Linked DNA regions of Arabidopsis thaliana. The protein of the gene in region 2 interacts with the protein of the main gene of each other region in a pairwise test. Each region holds a gene or a part of one and is shown on either strand. Other genes may lie near its edges.

Region 1 (5,419 bases), on a different chromosome or scaffold from region 2:
AAATAGAGACCAACCTCATATCAGTAGGTGATAAAGATGGTCTCAGTAATGCCCGGAAGCTGTATGATTCTGCTGTTGCAAGTTACGGTCAAGACGTGGAGCTGTGGAAGAATTACTACTCATTGGAGACAAAGGTAAAGTGGATTCTTAATACCCTGACCAAAACCAATACTATGACTTAGTGTCAAGTATGCTAACTGACAATCTTTCTGATGTTTATTGCAGCTGGGAACATCAGAGACAGCCAATGGAGTGTATTGGCGTGCGAGAAAGACTCTGAATGAATCCGCGGATTTCATAGTTTGATCTCTGATTTATAGGTAGTCTAGTATGTATGATGAAGGAAACACTATGTTTGCCTCGTATTTGTGGATGCAGGTTTCAGTTATGTGATCCTTAAGATATGAATTTTGGTTGTAACAGAACAGGAGTCGATGTACTACTTTATGAGTCTAGTTATACTCTAAAACACTTTTTTGATACAAAAACATGTTGAAGTTCATACATGCCTCTACGTCTTTGGTTTCACGTTTCACATGTTTCACATGTTTCTGATGAATTTATTCTCGTATCCTCTTTACCTGGTGACGACTTGGTCTTTATGATTCTAATGTTTGTTGTTGATAATAAAAGTATACATCACTTAAGGGATCCCATATGGTTACTGTGTTCAAAACAAGACGTCAGGGCTTTTTGGGTATTAAGAAAATGTCTCTTTCCATGTCCCATCTCCTAAATGGCTAAATCACAGACCGAGTAGCTGTGCCATTGACAACTTCGTCTCACAAAGCTGTCAACAGCTAATAAAATAAAGAGTAACAACAAACTATTAATAACACTTTTCCCTGCCACTAGCCAAAAATCTAGACATGCACTAAACTCAGGCATGCTCGTCTGCATGTTCTTCTTGGAAATCAACTTTTTCTACTTTTTTTTCAATTGCTCCATTCACAACCCATAGATAAGATAATTAACTGTTTGGAGTTTTAGAATAAGTTATTAAATGCAACGAACAAAGTCTGAGACAGACATTTTTTTTTCTTTTCTTAATGGACTGCCTTCTTCAAGCTTTGACATTGCTGGTGAAGTCGACACAAGTCTGGCAAGTACACTCAGAGAAACGGCATAACTCGCAGCCAAAACAGACGCAGGAAGTGCAGCCTTTGCAACTAGGTGAACGTGTGCACCCTCTGTACACCTTCCTGCTCCCTCTCTCTTCTTCCTCCTCACATGTTATCCTACGACCACCACACCATTCATTGATATAATACATCATTTGCATCAAACTTAAGTACATACAAGGACAACAAAAGACACCTACTTGTCGTATGGGAAATCTGAGCATTTCCAGTTTGGATCACCCATTGCATTGTGGTGCAAGCGGCATTCGTCTCTGCTCCTCAGCCTGAACCTCCTCTCTTTACCACAATCGTTACACCCAACAAACTCATCTCTATGGCAAACTTTGGCACCTTGTGATCTGTTTGATCTACTGCACTTCTTTGATGATTCATTGTAGTACTTGAGCAATACTGTCTTTGACAATGGAACCTTTTCGCCCCCAATGATAACCCACACATTGTTTTTCCACTTCCTTGCCGTTTCTCTTCCAGAATGCTTCTCGAATGCAGCTGGTGTCAACTTGTCTAGCATCATACAATCAAAACTGTTCAAGTCAGTCACTTTTACTTTCAAAGAGAGCTCTAAATGAGCATCTATACCAAATAAGCTAGAGATGGAATTGTTAGCTACAAGATACCACAAGAACTAGGTTGCATCAAACTTTGACATACACGTACAGCTAAGCGAGACATATCATTTGTCAATAAAGCTACCACTTGGCCAGTAACAAAGAGACGCATTACCATTTACAGATAAACAGACAGCCTAAAACATTACTGTGGCAAATCAAGTCATTTCATTTTCTACAAGAACGGATCTAGCTAGCATACACTAAGACTCATTGATAAATATGTAATCATGCTAAAGACCCTAGCTTTACCAGCCCAATGTGATAGTAGCTAGACAGAGACAAACGTTTAATCTCACACACATTCACATGTAACATGCACACAAATCAAAACCCATTTTCCCAAAAGCATCAGAAAGACACGAGAAAGAGACAGTAGAGACAAAAAAAGAGAGACCTTCATCGCAACCAGGTGTGCATTCGCAGGTGATTTCAAGGTCACCGGTGGGGAAAACCCTAAGTCTAGCAACAGCATCGCCGTATCGGTGACTGGTACAACCACACATGACCTCAACGTAATCGCCACCAACATTGACCCCACTCATCTCTTGTAGCTCCTCTTGCTTAAACAACATGGACCCACATTGCATCTCTCCCTCATTGTTCGCCATCACTCTCTCTCTGAGATTTTCTCCTTATAGCGTATGAGGAGAATGAGAAGAGAGAGAGAAGGAAGAGGAAGAGGAAGAGGGTAGAATTAGGAGATGAGAGAAGAAGGAAAGGCCTCGTTTTGGGGTATAAAAGGAAAGCCCTAAAGGAGCACGCATCTCAAAAGCCGTAAGAGAGATCTGATATCAAAGCAAAAGCTTATTAAGGGCTTTTCGGGAGAAGAGAAGAGAGAGAAATAAATTAGAAAGAGAGCTCTTTTAGTTTAGCCTCTCTTTGGCCTTCTTGTGGTCTTGTGGTTATAGTAAGTAACAAAGAAACTCTCTTATACAAACAAAACAAAAAGGATGCGAATTAGCTGGCCAACAAAACAAAACTCGTGGGGGCATGGGACCTCTCCATTATATTAATGTTTATATACAACTATGTTATAGTATGTATCACCTACATAACATTGTATTGTATATAGGGAAGAGAGAGAGAATTTCTATGGTTGATAAGAGGAGCAGGAACAGAGGCGGTGGGTGAGAGGCTTTTGATAAGACATAAGAGAGAAGAAGTTGAGGAATAGGGTTGTGTCAATTGTTTCAGGTTCCTCTTTGGTTTTATAATGTCATAACTCCTTTTTCTATTTCTTGTACTTACTTCTTTTCAAGAAGTTCTTGATTTTGTAATTTTCAAAGGTCCTTTTTTTTTCCTTTGAGGTTCTGCAAATTCTTGGCTCTTCCCTTTCACCAGGATTCATTGGTTACCGAGTCATTTCACCACCACACCTATTGGCTATTTTTTTATATAAAATAAAAGTTGAAGAAATATATAAAGGTTGGTTTGTTTAATTGTTAAAAGAAAAGGTTTAATCAACTAGTTGTCTATAAAACAACTAGTAACCAAGTACATGACGACGACGTCATTGACATCTATGCCTGTTAGGTATTCTGCAATGCGCTCAAACCCCAAAGTCATATCTCTATATTTGTAGCTATATGTGTTCGAGGAACTCATTTTTTTAATACGGATGAGGATACTAGTGTTGTATGTAGACCATATGATTTATATATGGTATATTTGTTGTTGTTGTTATCTTAAGTACATACACAATGGATGGGTTGCAAAACAAAAACAAAAAGTACATAATGGATAAATGAGAATTAAAGAAAATGTCGCCAGTTTTTTTTTTTGAAGAAAGTGAAATAATTATGTCAACATCTTTACAGAGACATGAATATGAATAAGTTGTCAACACAATTTTTGTATAACAACATCTTTACTTTGAACTTTAAAAACTCTCTTTCCTCCTAGTTGTTCCCAAGAAACTGAAAAAAAGAGTAGCGGATGGGAGTGAACTTATGGATTCAAAACATTTATTATGGGCTTGGGGTTTAGAAGTTTACGAGCCTTGGCCCCTTTCTGATTTCTACTCAAAGTTTTGTCATGTTTTTAAACTTCTCATATTTTGTTTTTGTTTTTAAGATGGTGGTTATAAATATTCGAATATCAAGTTTGCAGCAACGATGTTAGGTTCTTTCCACTTCAAGTTTTATTTAACACAAAACCAACTAAAGATGAAAAAGTAGCTTGCTCAACGCGTTCTTATTCAACAATGAGGTAAATGCAACATAGTGGATGGATGATGAGCTAAAAAATGATGGTCAGTTCTTATCTTCAACTACATTTTTGACGACCAAAAGGAAGATGTTGGTAGTATAAGTATTAAGCATTTTACTTACTGTCGTTACATGTCCGGTGTCCCTGTCCAAGGCAATCGGCAGTTGTGTGTTGAAATTATCCCAACGATGATGGGTCGCTATCTAACGAGATATTTGTCCATCCGCATAATTTTCTTTTGAATATTTTAAAGAAAATCAAACACTAGCGTTTTGTCTTTGAAGATATGAATGAATGAGACAAATATCAGATTCTTTATCAAAGTGGATAAAACAAAAGAGCATAATCGAGCCCATAGTGAATATGGGCCAACATGAGAAAGAGGCCCATTAAAGTTGACAAGTATATGACTCGCGACTCTCGAGAGAGCAGAGTGAGAGAGAGAGAGGAATTAGCAAAAGTAGAAAGAAAATGGGATGCTGCTTCAGCGCCGGAAAAGTCACAGCTCCACCAGTCGCCGCCGCTCAAATTCCTCCACCCCTCGAAGAAGAATCCGTCAAAGAAGTCGTTGTTCAATCAGTCTCTGTCTCCGTCCCCATACCCATCTCCGTCCCTGTCCCAGTCCCCGACCTCGTTCCTTCCGCACCAACAGTCTCAGATTCAGAAGCTCAAGTTCCTCTTCCTCTCTCACCTCCAGCTCCGGAGATCTCTCACAGCAAGTCCGACATTTGCAGCGTCTCTGTCTCTCACAGCTACTCCACTGCCACAACTGCTACCGCTGCGTCCATCCTCGAAGACGATGCTCTCAGCAAACCTCACCGTCCTCCTCCTCCTTCTTCTTCCACCTCTCGCCGTAACAGGCCTGACAGAGTCCTCAGATCTCCGGCAGAACGACATTCTCCTCAGGGGAAGCAGCTCCGTCCTAGGTTAGTCCGAGAGAGACAGTCTCGTCAACCAAACCCTACTCACAACCGGCGAAATGTGGATTCGGGTCCACTCCCACGGAGCGGGTTATCGGATAATCCGAGGCGTCGCTCACAGTCTCCAGCCACTCGTGCCCCGAGTTCTGCAAGAAGAAGCCCCATGAAGAAACGAGTAGGAGCTCCGGAGAAAGACGGAGCAACAGAGGTGAAGAAGAAGGAAGAAGAAACGGAGAAAGTAACTGCTGAGGTAAAGAAGGAAGAAGATGTAACAGCTGTGAGAGACCCTGAAGTGTCCATGGAATGCTTCATCTTTCTCTGATGATCTCTTCTCCTTTCATCATTATTAACTCTGATGTGATTGATTGTTTTTTTTCTTTCCCTTTTTTTGATTTGTAAATTGCGGAATGTATAATTATTAACCAAATCTTATGCGGATCTTCGTTTTTGGTTTGTTTATTGTGGACTCGTAAAGTAAAAGGCAAGCCTACGCAACAACGCTCACAAATTCCATGGCTTTTTATTTTATGGAGATTGC
Region 2 (7,764 bases):
AAGAAACTCCGTCGCTGAAAATGGGCCTAAGCTTCGAGAAGCTTCTGAAAGAACAGGACGCGAGATTCTTCTCTGGACTCGTAGAGGCAGCTCGCTTCGTGCTCTGCTTGTCATCACTGTAAGTAGAATGATTGAACCTAATTAGAGACTGAATTTCATTTTCAATCTAGCCTTCCATTATCTTCAATTCGATTTCCTCAAGTAAATTAACGTATTGTGCCCTAAATCGTCTTGGTTCTGTAACTCTTTACCATTGATGAAAAGTTTGGTACTTTATTGAAAAGTTTAGTGCTTTATTGAACCCATTTGAGCCAAATTTCGTGGGTGTCTGAGACTATATGTTGATTAGTTATTATCTTGTTATTGTTGTTGCAGATGGGAACAATAGTTCTTTTGACAACAATGGCTTTGGTTGTATTCACACTCTTCTTTGTAGCTGCAACAGCCAATGCTATCATAATCTCTCTTCTGATTTCACTTGCTGTTGCTGGTGGCTTCTTGGCACTCTTCTTTCTCTGCTTGACTGGTGTTTACATTGGAGCCTTATCCGTTGCTGCATTCGTCATCTCTACCGCTACAGTTTCTGCTGTCGTTTCTGTCTTAATAGCTTCAGGTTGGTTATATACTCTGCTCTGATTCTGTTTTGGAATCTTGTAATGAGTGACACTCCAAGTTACTTCCTATATGTATTGAAGAATGAAATGAATTTGGTATTGGATCAGGTTGGATTGGGTTTTTCTATGCGGTGTGGTTGGGAACAAGAGGAAGCCTACGCTTGGCTAAGCAATCGGTTTCAGTGGTGGGATCAGCCATTTCAGGTAACACTATCAGTCGTCATCAACACCAAGACCGGGAGGTAAACATCGAATCAACCAACTGAGAATCCGTCCTTACCGCGTTTGTAAATAAACCCCGACTTTTGGTTGTTAATGGAAGCTTGATATAAATATGATCTATGGAGTTTGTTGTGAAGAAGCAGAGAAAGAATGATAAGAATATTTCAAAATGCAACTTGAAACATTTTGTGATCAATGTCTACGGATTTTTGGATCTATGTATGCATACATTGTGTGTTTTATGTACTTAAGAAAGAATAATGATCAGTATCCATATGAAATCTCAACTCAGATCTCTCCCTCTCTCTACATTTCGGCTGCAAAAAAAAAAAAAAAAACTTGAAACCCTCTAGCCAACCAAGAGGCTTTCAAAAAAATATCCAAACTTTCACCACATTTTGATGATCTTCCAATTATATAACTTATGATCACACCACCAGATCAACCTCAAAAAACTAAAAACCCGAAAACCCAAAAACAAAAACTCATACATTGATCATCCACTTTATAATCAAATCATCAATGGAACTTGAGAAGAGGAACCTCCAAATTTCTTCATTTTGGTAGTGATATTCTCTCTCTCTGTGCAAAAATCAACACTCTTGAGCAGCTTGGCTCTCTACGTGTTCTCCTTCTTTTACGCTGAGAATTTCATCGTCACAAAGATATATACTGCATACATGTTTCTGAGTATATATAGAGAGAGAAAGATGAAACAAAAAAATAAAAAATCCAATATATATAAAAATCCAAATTGATCAAGAAAGTCATTTCTCGTGCCAATCTGGTCTGCCTAATGTAAACTCCAAACTTGGATTTTCACAACTAAGATTTCCACACCTCTTTGCTTGATCATTCGACCTTTGCTCCTGCCAATTTTAACTTTATATTAGATTAAAGGACAAAAAAAACACTAAGAAAGGCAATATCTATCTATACAAATATGATTAGATGGGAATTATCAGAACCTGATTTTGAATGCTGGATCTTTGATAATGAGAGATCATTGATGTTGATGAAGTTCTGATCATTGTATCTATGTCGCTTGAGCAGTTATTACTTAATGGCCATGTCTCTCTATTTTATGATTTAAGAAAAGAAAGAAAACAAATTAAGGACAAATTGTATTTATTGATGTATAGATGCCCTAAAAATAAAATAAAAATCACTACACACAAATTGCGTTTTTTTGCAACTTGCTATATGACCACAATCTACATGTCATACTTATGAAGCAAAATTCGTTTATCCTAGTCTTCCTAGATGAATCTTAAGAACCCAAACCAAATTATAATTAAAAAAAAAAACTTGGTACATATAATTAAAGTTCATCAGCCATAAACCCTAACCAATTTCATCTCATTGTAACCAAAACCATCACTCAAATTTTTTCCCCTTAAACTGAACGAAAACAAACTTAAAATATCATCTAAAAACTATTTTTGTTAGAAGAAAATGGATAGATGTGGGATAAACCAAACAATTGTCGTATGAATTACTTGGTAGGAAGTAGGAACAATTAGGTGAGAGAACCCTAAACCCTATCTCAAATTTCGTCAATCTTATTCTTACCTAATGTTTATATATACTTATCGTGTGTATAATACATGTACGTATATACGTAAACGTACCGTGAAGAGTTACTCCAACGAGGTTGTGTGGAAGAAATGTCAGTTTCTTGATGAAGAGAAGTATCATCAGATTGTGCCCTTTGATCCGTCGATGATTGATGATGAACTTCGTTTCCATTTATGCCCATTTCTTCTTCTCCTGACCCATCTGAAATTTTATTTTAACTTTTTATCAAGTTTCGTTGTCTCAAATCAATCACTTATACCCTATAAGGAATCTCATTTAAAACTGAACGATTCTTGTAAGCTTTTTTGTAAAAGACAATGCAGTGAAGAAATTGTTTTTCTTAAAAAATAATTTCAGCATTTCGTGTTGACCAACCTAATATGTGTCTCAAAAAATAGTTTTACAGACTCGAAAATTGTGCCAAATAAACTTTTAATTGGTTAAAGAAAATCCATATGAAACAAGTGGTTTTTCTTTATTCTTAATTCATGAACTTTGCTTGGATATGAGTTTACACTTCACACGTTTTAAATTTAATCTTTTACTCGATTTTTTTTTCTTAGAGAACATCAATATTGGGGATATATGTTTGTTTGGTTTGCTTTGAACTTTGACCACTCAACTTTAGGGTTCAATCAAAGGAAGGATAAAAGCCTTGAGCTTGACCAATATCTTAGGGCTCGTTTTTTATTATTTTGGGGAAAGGGAATAGTAGAAATAGTAGAATCAAATAGTAAAAATAACAGAAATAATTTCACGTCATTATATCTCTACATACATACAAATATCGAATCACAGCTTCAAATTCTGATTGAGAACTAATTTCTTATAAATATTGTAGTCAAAAAAAGCTATAATAGTGATTATATTGGACCTCCATTTCTATAAAATTCTGGTGGAGAATCCTAAGCTTTATTGTATATCTGTCTTATGTTATTTTTTGGTGAATTGTATATCTTTCTTATTAAAAGCCAGTACCATTTCTTTAGCATATATAAAGCTGAAAAAAGCTATACTAAAGAAATGTGAATATGCATAACATTATATGTGTGTGTGTGTGTAAAGGAATCACACGTACCTGATGAAGCAGCAGGCTTGTTAGTGGTCTTAACAGTTCGATACATCTGCAAAAAAAAAAAAATTAAAGGCATGATGAGAGCTCTAAAACTAGAATAAACCATAAATCCAATTAAAGACACAGGAAAAAACCAAAATAAATATCGGACAAAAGATACTGATAAACTAAATAGATTTATTTTTGTATAATGTGATACAGAATTACAGATGACAAACTGGAGAGATATATGCAGACACATATGAACTTTATATTATTAAATAAATAATATATGTAGTACATATGTGTGGTTTTCTGGGTTTGTCTTGGAACTGATGATGTATATATAATTAATTATTTATGATTTTAAGACCACGAGGTTGATGTCTGAAAGAAGGTTGAGTAATAGAAAGATTGTATTATTATCATTGAGTAATGATGACTACTTTTGTCCCCTCTTCCTAATTTAAAAAAGAAAAAATGAATTATAATCCAAAATAACTTCTATCTATCATCTCAATTCTCCATTGTTTAATAATTCTCTGAAAGGTTTCAGTCACTTAAAGCTATAACTACTCTCTCTTTTTCTCTCTTTAAATTCATTCAACTGCTTCAATTTTCTTGGCAATTGTGCCATCTCTTCCAAAATATGACTAAACTTAAAGCAAAGACAAAACAAGAAAATAAAAGTAACACATCAGAATTGGAGCTCTATTCATTGCTCTGATGATATATACGTACACAAAAACCTTGTTTCTTGATTCAGCTGTTTTTGTGCAAAACGCAAAGGAGAAGAGAGTGACATGATGGTGATGAAAACTATGAAATATCCCTAATTATAGAAAATCTTGATTGGTAACGAACTAACTCGACTAGATTAAACCTAAATTAACAAATAAAAATTGATTCTTTGTTGTGTCTAATTTAATTTCAAATAGAGTATAGATTATACCTGCAAATGGCTCTTCACATGTGCTAAAGTTAAGTCTTTTACATCCATGAGCTCAAGAACCGACTTTGGAGTTGCTCCTAGAATCACAACAACAACAAGAATAAAAGATTTAAGACTTTGAGAATAAAGTGAAGAAAAATGGGAATGATCATTAGAATGTGATTATGATATAAATGTGTACTTTCATGGCCGCCTAGAAGCTCAACAGCGTGAACAAACCGCGCGTGGAGGCTACTAGTCCAACGCATCCTTGGAGCTCTCATGCTTCGCTTTGTCGGCATCTTAGGCAAGAATCTTGATCTGATCATCCCATGATGATGATGGTTATGGTGATGAGGAGAAGACGAATCTGAAGATCCAACGACTCCATACTGATTATGATGATGATGATGATGCAAAGGAACACCTTTAAGCCTCGGGGAAGATTGTAATGATCGGTAAGCGTTGTTGTAGCCGGAAGATGAGTTTAAGATTGAGATTTGATCCATGTCTCCTCCTCCAAGAGAAGGTAATGAAGAGTTTTGTTGGTGGAAAGGGAATGAACGGTTGTGATAGACCGGGATGCCTCTAATTGGACGGTGGAGATTACTAATCTCGGATTCATCGACCCTTTGATGAACACCATTGATGATAGGGTTGTTGTAATGCTGCTGATGAGGAAGATTAAGGGTTCTTCGATCAGGACAATGGAAGATTCTTGCTGTTGGATGGTTATGATGAGATAAAGAGAGTTCAAAGTTGGACGATCGGTTGTTGTTTTCGAGTTGGGAGGATCTTCTTGAAGATTCTTTAGAAGATTCATTGTGATGGTATTGATGAATATCTGGGAGACTGATGTGGAGAGATAGATCAGGGAGAGTAGTTGTTGTGTTTGTTTTGGTTTTCTCTAGAAAAACACCTTCCATAGACATAATTAAAGAAACCTTTCTCTTGCTATTGCTGCCACTGAAGTTGTTGATGATGATAAGGATGATGATGGTGATGATGATGATGACTATTCTTTTGTTTTTTTTTTCTCCTGAGGGTTTTGCTTAGGAATTTAAAATGATTTTCTCTAAGGAGAAGAGAAAGCAGAGAGATTCTTTAGGCAAAGAAGTCAAAAGGGTGTCTGAAAGATTTGATATTTTTTTTGTTCTCTTTCTCTCTCTATATCTCAGAAAGAAAGGAGAAAGTGAGAGAGATGAAGTTAAAGAGAAGCTTAGAAGAAGAGAGAGAAGTTGAGTGATGATCTTCTTGAAGAAACAAACATGCTCAAAGTAAGACGCAGAGAGAGAGAAAAAGAAGGAAGAGAGAGATAGAGAGAGGTATGTGTGTTGTGAAGCAAAGGCAGAAGAGAAAAAAGGAATAAAACTAAATCCAGGAAAATTAAAAACAGGTAAGAGAGAGAGATATATGTGTGTTCGTTCATGTACATGTATGTGTATGTGTATGTGTGAGATGTTGTTCCTCGAGAGTATATCTTGGAAAACGATAGTTGAGAAAGGGTAATATTGTCATTCGCTATATTCCAAATATTGGAAGCTTTTTATTTTATTTTGGGATGGTATTTCAATTTGTCTTTTTCACCTTTCAACAAGTAAACCCATCTATCAATATAATATAAATTATTTTACGGCTAGATTAATTGATTTCATGTTTTAGTTTATTCGTTTAAACTACTGAAATTTTGATTTCCATAGATAAAGTTGAAGAATAATAGCAAAATAAATCTTGTTTTCTATCAATTTAGTAGATGAAATTTTCAAATGTAAAGTGTATTTAATAATCGACCAATTTCATAGATGAAAAGCATACAACTTTTAACAATAAAAATTAATACGATTATCATCCATTAAAACCTTAACAATTTGAGTAATAAATCAAAAACTCAATTGATCTTTAAAATAATAATGTTCACAGATTATCATGAAGAATAATAATTAAAAATGTTGGAGAAGAGTACAAGAGGAGAGAGAATAAAGGGTCGCTCTCTTCTGTCCTATCTAATCTATAGTCAAAGCAAAAGCCAAAATTAAATTAAATAAATAAATAACAAGAAGAAAAAAACAAACACAAGACCTATTCTAAAATAAATAAAAAGTTTCATTATAACCAAAAAAAAATAAAATAAAAAAAGAGAGAGTGCTTTGATTTTGGTACCCCGGAGACGACGGGATACATATGTTGAGACTTGAGAGAGAGAAAGAGACTGTGTCCTCTCTGACTCCTTTTTTATTTTCTCCCCCACTCTCTTCGCTTCTCACTTCACTCTCTATTCACATCTTATTATAATAATTCCTTATACGATTTTGGAATCAAACAAATTCAAGTTTCTGACCGTAGATTGTTCAACTATACCTAAAGAGATAAATATACATTAAATATCAGTACGTTCTTGAGTTTATGAATAGCTCGTATAGACATTTAGTTCCTAGAGATGTGACTACAATATCAACCGGCTACTTGTTTGACCGTTTTGTGTTGTCTATCAATTAGAGCCAAATCGAAGTCATATACATGTCGCTTTAAAATACGTACTTGAAAAGAAATAAAATTAGGCAGATTTATATATATTTTTGACTTGTTTGTGTCGAATGTAATAATGTATGCATTCTAGTGTTTCTGTTTTCTTTGTACTCGACATTTTTACATTCACATTGTTCGTTTATAATTCTACAAAAAAAATTATGGAGTTGACTTTATCTACTGTGAAACAGAAATATGTCATACTGAAAAATAATGAAAAATATACAAAATTGAATAGTATTTAACTATTCGTATGTTTTTGTCAAAGAATTATTATATTTTTTTATCCCACTTTTAATTTGGAATATATAAACTCTGTGTTTTGCCTTCCAAAGGTACGGAAATTATTGTCTTAGAAAGTATCTTTCTCTTCAAATACATACATATATGCATACGTGTGTACAATACAAGGTGCCCTCGTACGTATATAAACCAAGTGTCATATAAAGAATTCGATCAATTATTGTAACGTAACATGCATGCTTTTAGATTATACGTGAAGTTAAATATATATTAGACCTAAGAAAATACTCAGCCAGAAAGTGGATTTTGTTTGTTTCCCTTAATAAACAAAAACAAGTGAACCCTAAAGAACCTAAATATTTGCTTCTAATTCCCTTTTCATTCTCCCAAATATTCCTTCTCAATTTAATAACTCTTTTCTAATTTTCTTTAAATTGTCTTCTAAGAAAAAAAATAAACTATTCACTCCTCACATGACCATATCAATACAACATCTCGACAAATCATTAATGCCTTGAAATAAAAATATGATAAATTGTAAGACTATGTTTATATATCAGGAAATTTAAATAAGTGAGATTTTATTCGTTGATTAT
Region 3 (4,453 bases), on a different chromosome or scaffold from region 2:
GAATATGGAAGTCTTTGTAGCAATGATCTGCTCTCTGCTCTTATCAAGATAAGAACAGAGTATTGCTTGTATGGTGTAGTTGTTGTGTACGTTGTAATAGGCAAAGTGATGCCCTGTGTTTAAAATCTCATCTTCGTCTAGGCCATAGAACTTGGAAGTCTTTGTAGCAATCTCTATATTGATATGTGGACTGGACTGAGATATATGACCCACCTTGGTGCAGTTCCTACATATCTCTATGGAGCAGCAGAAAAGGAGCAGTGCACCCTGGATTCGATCAGAAGAAAGCTGGGGTACTTCAAGGCAAACAGGGAGGGACATGAATGGGCAGGTGGGTTTGACCTGGAGATGGTGCCACTGAAGCCAGACGCAGGGCCACAAGAGGTGAGCAAAGCCAAAGGGGTTGTAGCGGTTGGGGCGTGTGGGTGGGTAAGTAACTATAACGTGCCTGTCATGTCAAACGATCTCAAGGCAGTGAGGAGAATAGCGAGGAAGACGAGCGAGAGAGGAGGGGGCTTGGCTTCAGTGCAGACAATGGCGCTGGTGCACGGGGAAGGAGTCATAGAGGTTGCCTGTAACTTGTTGAATCCAAGCCAAGTGGGGGGAGATGAAGTACAGGGACTGATCGAGAGGCTTGGCAGAGAGGAAGGTCTGCTTGTGGGAAAAGGGTATTATACGGACTATACACCTGACCAGATCGTTGAAAGATATATGGACTTGCTCAACAATTCATAAATTTCAAAGTAAAAAAAGTAAAAACAGTATGATGTTGTCATTCTTAGAACGTATTATTACCGACATCGATCATTTATCTTCATTTTGTGTTTAGATGTGATATACATTGCCATGAGTGACAATTGAAATTAGCAAAGATTAAATAAAAAGTGAAATGATAAAATGATGGTACGTTCATTGAGAGGCCAAAACATCAGATCTCATCATTGGTGTTTTTCCTCAACAACTGTGAGAGATTTGTTTTGTGTAGCCTCGTCTTTTGCCGTGGTTCTTAAAGCTGTTGTTTTCTTAGCATTTTGCCTTGTTTTGCATATATCTATATGGCAATGCATGCAAGTCATTAACTAATGTATAGTGAACTATTGGTAGCATCGTGACCATGTGGTAATTAACAATCTTTGTCCTTCAAATTTATATATATGGAGGTTGTGGTCTATATGATTTGTTAAAGTGAAAAGACAACTGGTTTTCTATTAATTTGGTCGTAGGTGAAATTCGAGGGTCAAAAGTCTCTAAAAACAACGTGGATGAGGTGGAGTTTGGTGCGGCTCGTTATTGACTTGAGTTCTTCTTGGTCATTTTTTTGGGTTTGCAACAAGGGGAAGGAGGTTAAAAGAACATTTATCTTTTTCTGTTTTATCACTAATTATTGTGTTGTTTTATTTGATATAATCAATCAATAGGTTAAAAGAACAAGAATAAATTAAAAAATTCGTCAAAAACATCAAAACGAGAACTAATTTGAAACACAATTTAACTTCTAAACGACAACTAATTTGAAACGGAAGGAGTATACGTTACATTTAGACAAAAAAAATGTAATTTATGACATGCCTACACACATTGACGTAGACAATTAAAGGTTAGGTGTGTCCTTGTATATGTGTATACATGTACATACATATGTATGGGCACATTGGAGTTGGGCCGCAATGGAGAATAAGGACCAGATGCGACTATCATACACCTAACTCTTAAGAAAAAAAGCATTATTTGTGTACATAAATGGTAGACCCATGAAACCTGTAGAGCTCAAAAGTCACAAGTAAAAGAGAGAAAAGAAAGAAGAGAAGAGGTAATTACATGTGGGTTTAGAGAACAACTTTACTTAATCTCTTCTCTTTTATCATCAACCAACCATATATGGACAATTACAAGAACACATCTATGTATGAACGTTAACGTAGATAATATTATAAAATATTATTCTAAAAATTAAAAGATTCACAATTCCCATGCCTCACGACTTGTATTTTTCTTTGGCCACCTAATTTGCATCCATCATCTCTCTGTCTCTATAGAGAGTTTCTTTCAAATCCCCTAAAACCTAGAAAAACACCAAAGTCTCTCTCTCTTTTTGTTTTACTCCAAAAGCCTTTTACCTTTGAGATTTTTCTATATAATTGTCAGATCCTTCGTTACTACTGATGCTAGCTCCTTTAGGGCTTTTTCTCGTTTACTCATGTCAAATTACCTTCTTGTCCCTTGGTGTTTAGGGCTCTGATCCTATATAATAATACTTCATAGGAAGGAGAAGGAGCCCTTCGTCGTGGTTTACTTGGTCCCGATCGGAGATGGAGAGAGAATGTGGGTCGAAGGAGTTGTTCAGCAAAGAGGAGCTACAAGAAATAAGTGGAGTCCATGTGGGAGACGATTACGTCGAGGTCATGTGTGGCTGCACCAGCCACCGTTACGGAGACGCCGTTGCGAGGCTTAAGATATTTTCAGATGGAGAACTTCAAATCACCTGCCAATGCACTCCTGCTTGTCTCGAAGGTTCCTCTTCTTCTCTCTCACATCTTTCTATATGCATGTTCCATGTGAATGTGTATGGATTCATGATAGTGTCAAGAATGCAATGTAACTGTTCTTTGGCCTCGGTGAACTATGAGGCTGCTTGTATTTGCTAGATGTGATATGTTTCATGCAGTCTTTTAGAGTGTGGGATAACCTTACATTGTAATGTATCTCCATTTTATATCACAAGTTCGAGTTTCTTTCAAAGTGATCTGATTGACAGCTTTCATTCTATGATGGTAGACAAGTTGACGCCTGCTGCCTTCGAGAAGCATTCTGAGAGAGAAACCTCTAGAAACTGGAGGAACAATGTTTGGGTGTTCATTGAAGGAGACAAGGTTCCGCTTTCAAAGACAGTGTTGCTCAGATACTACAACAAAGCATTGAAGAACTCTAACGTATCGAAAGTCATTCATCGGGATGAGTTTGTTGGGTGCAGCACATGCGGGAAGGAGAGGAGGTTCAGATTGAGGAGCAGAGGGGAATGCCGGATGCACCATGATGCAATTGCTGAGCCTAATTGGAAGTGTTGCGATTACCCATACGACAAGATAACATGCGAGGAGGAGGAAGAAAGAGGGAGCAGGAAAGTGTTCAGAGGTTGCACTCGCTCACCGTCCTGCAAAGGCTGCACTTCTTGCGTCTGCTTCGGCTGCAAGCTCTGCCGTTTCTCTGATTGTAACTGCCAGACTTGCCTCGATTTCACCACCAATGCCAAACCCATTTGACTTCATTTCTCTAACTTATTTAATTCTTCTGCAAAAACTTGTAATGTATGCTCTGCATTTTCTTTAATCAGTAGCTTGTTACACCTGTTATGCGAGTGGAGAGACCAAGTAGGGATCACATACTGGAAAAAAAACCGACTTGGGGCTTGGAAAACTAACTTAGCACCACTACGAGGACATGAATCTAATCTAAATTCAACCATATAACCTCGGCAAATACACACAAGGCAGGAGATCGATAACAAGAAGCAAGCAGTGACTGTAATAGTATGCTGAATAAACTATGTCAAGAATAAAAGCATGAGACAAGAGCAGCTACAAACATTTGGATTAGCCAATATGTACTTGGAAGGTGGACGACATACATGGAGAAATACCTCCAACAAAAATTGGTATCCAAACCAGACAAATAGAATGGAAGGAAATAGCTCGAAAGCATATATCAACATACGTAGTGAGACAATGATTTGCTTAAATCCTGTCTGTTTCAAACATAGGATATTATGAAACACAAAACTGTCAAGAATTTATCCATTGCAGACATCATCAGATCTCAAAAGTGATGCAAATTATTTTCAAAATGAAACACAAGACCAGTCACAATCTGCTAAAAGGGAAAACAAAGTGCATGAGAATGAGAGGTCTCTCCATAAAAGGTCTTCCTGGTGACAATGAAACTCATTGTGTACTCTCCACAGGCGTCTGCAAAAAAAACTATGTATAAGGGAAGGAACCCGAAGCCTCTAGGCAATGGAAGAAGAGCAAGAGCTGAAGAGCAAGAGTAAGTACCTCTTTTTTTCCCCCAGTGGCGAGCTTGTATCCACTGTAGAAAAGTAAGCCCCAGCCAGACAGAGAAATAAGCACAAACTGCAGATTGGTCAGGTAACAGAAGGAATCAATTCAACAAAAAATCACAGCTTTCATTAACAAAAACACAGTGTCACAAACACATGATTGATACATACATGCTCCTCTTTCCAGTTTCCTGGGTTCGTGGGCTGTTTCCAGAAGTCAACCTTGGTAGATCCATGGTGATCTGCACAGTACACAGACAAATCCACAAAATGCTCAAAAACTCAATTTTTTGTATACAGTGATTCAATTTGGAACCTGACAACGCCAATGATATACAAAATCTTCACAAAGTTGTAACATTTGGTTCATCTAAAATTCGTGAAAACACAAATTAGACA

What was found.
Region 1: the proteins of KAN (region 2) and ULT1 interact in a two-hybrid assay, tested with the Arabidopsis thaliana proteins (one study listed by BioGRID).
Region 3: the proteins of KAN (region 2) and ULT2 interact in a two-hybrid assay, tested with the Arabidopsis thaliana proteins (one study listed by BioGRID).

What each region holds. Positions count from the first base shown.
Region 1 is NC_003075.7:13,982,695-13,988,113, reverse strand, and holds ULT1 (Developmental regulator, ULTRAPETALA), read right to left. Parts: upstream 3,092-5,419; 5' UTR 2,362-3,091; coding exon 2,075-2,361; intron 1,667-2,074; coding exon 1,322-1,666; intron 1,239-1,321; coding exon 1,064-1,238; 3' UTR 672-1,063; downstream 1-671. Other genes in the region: AT4G28200 (U3 small nucleolar RNA-associated-like protein), read left to right, coding at 1-134, 226-306; AT4G28180 (uncharacterized protein), read left to right, coding at 4,433-5,203. UniProt on the Arabidopsis thaliana protein: Putative transcription factor that acts as a key negative regulator of cell accumulation in shoot and floral meristems. Negatively regulates the size of the WUSCHEL (WUS)-expressing organizing center in inflorescence meristems.
Region 2 is NC_003076.8:5,405,762-5,413,525, forward strand, and holds KAN (Homeodomain-like superfamily protein), read right to left. Parts: upstream 6,006-7,764; 5' UTR 5,332-6,005; coding exon 4,602-5,331; intron 4,498-4,601; coding exon 4,421-4,497; intron 3,539-4,420; coding exon 3,493-3,538; intron 2,616-3,492; coding exon 2,468-2,615; intron 1,914-2,467; coding exon 1,805-1,913; intron 1,706-1,804; coding exon 1,604-1,705; 3' UTR 1,102-1,603; downstream 1-1,101. Other genes in the region: AT5G16550 (voltage-dependent L-type calcium channel subunit), read left to right, coding at 1-118, 376-613, 723-880. UniProt on the Arabidopsis thaliana protein: Transcriptional repressor that regulates lateral organ polarity. Promotes lateral organ abaxial identity by repressing the adaxial regulator ASYMMETRIC LEAVES2 (AS2) in abaxial cells. Required for abaxial identity in both leaves and carpels.
Region 3 is NC_003071.7:8,964,652-8,969,104, reverse strand, and holds ULT2 (Developmental regulator, ULTRAPETALA), read left to right. Parts: upstream 1-1,861; 5' UTR 1,862-2,309; coding exon 2,310-2,511; intron 2,512-2,775; coding exon 2,776-3,260; 3' UTR 3,261-3,549; downstream 3,550-4,453. Other genes in the region: AT2G20830 (folic acid binding / transferase), read left to right, coding at 224-735; AT2G20820 (uncharacterized protein), read right to left, coding at 3,868-3,962, 4,050-4,083, 4,226-4,296. UniProt on the Arabidopsis thaliana protein: Putative transcription factor that acts as a key negative regulator of cell accumulation in shoot and floral meristems. Negatively regulates the size of the WUSCHEL (WUS)-expressing organizing center in inflorescence meristems.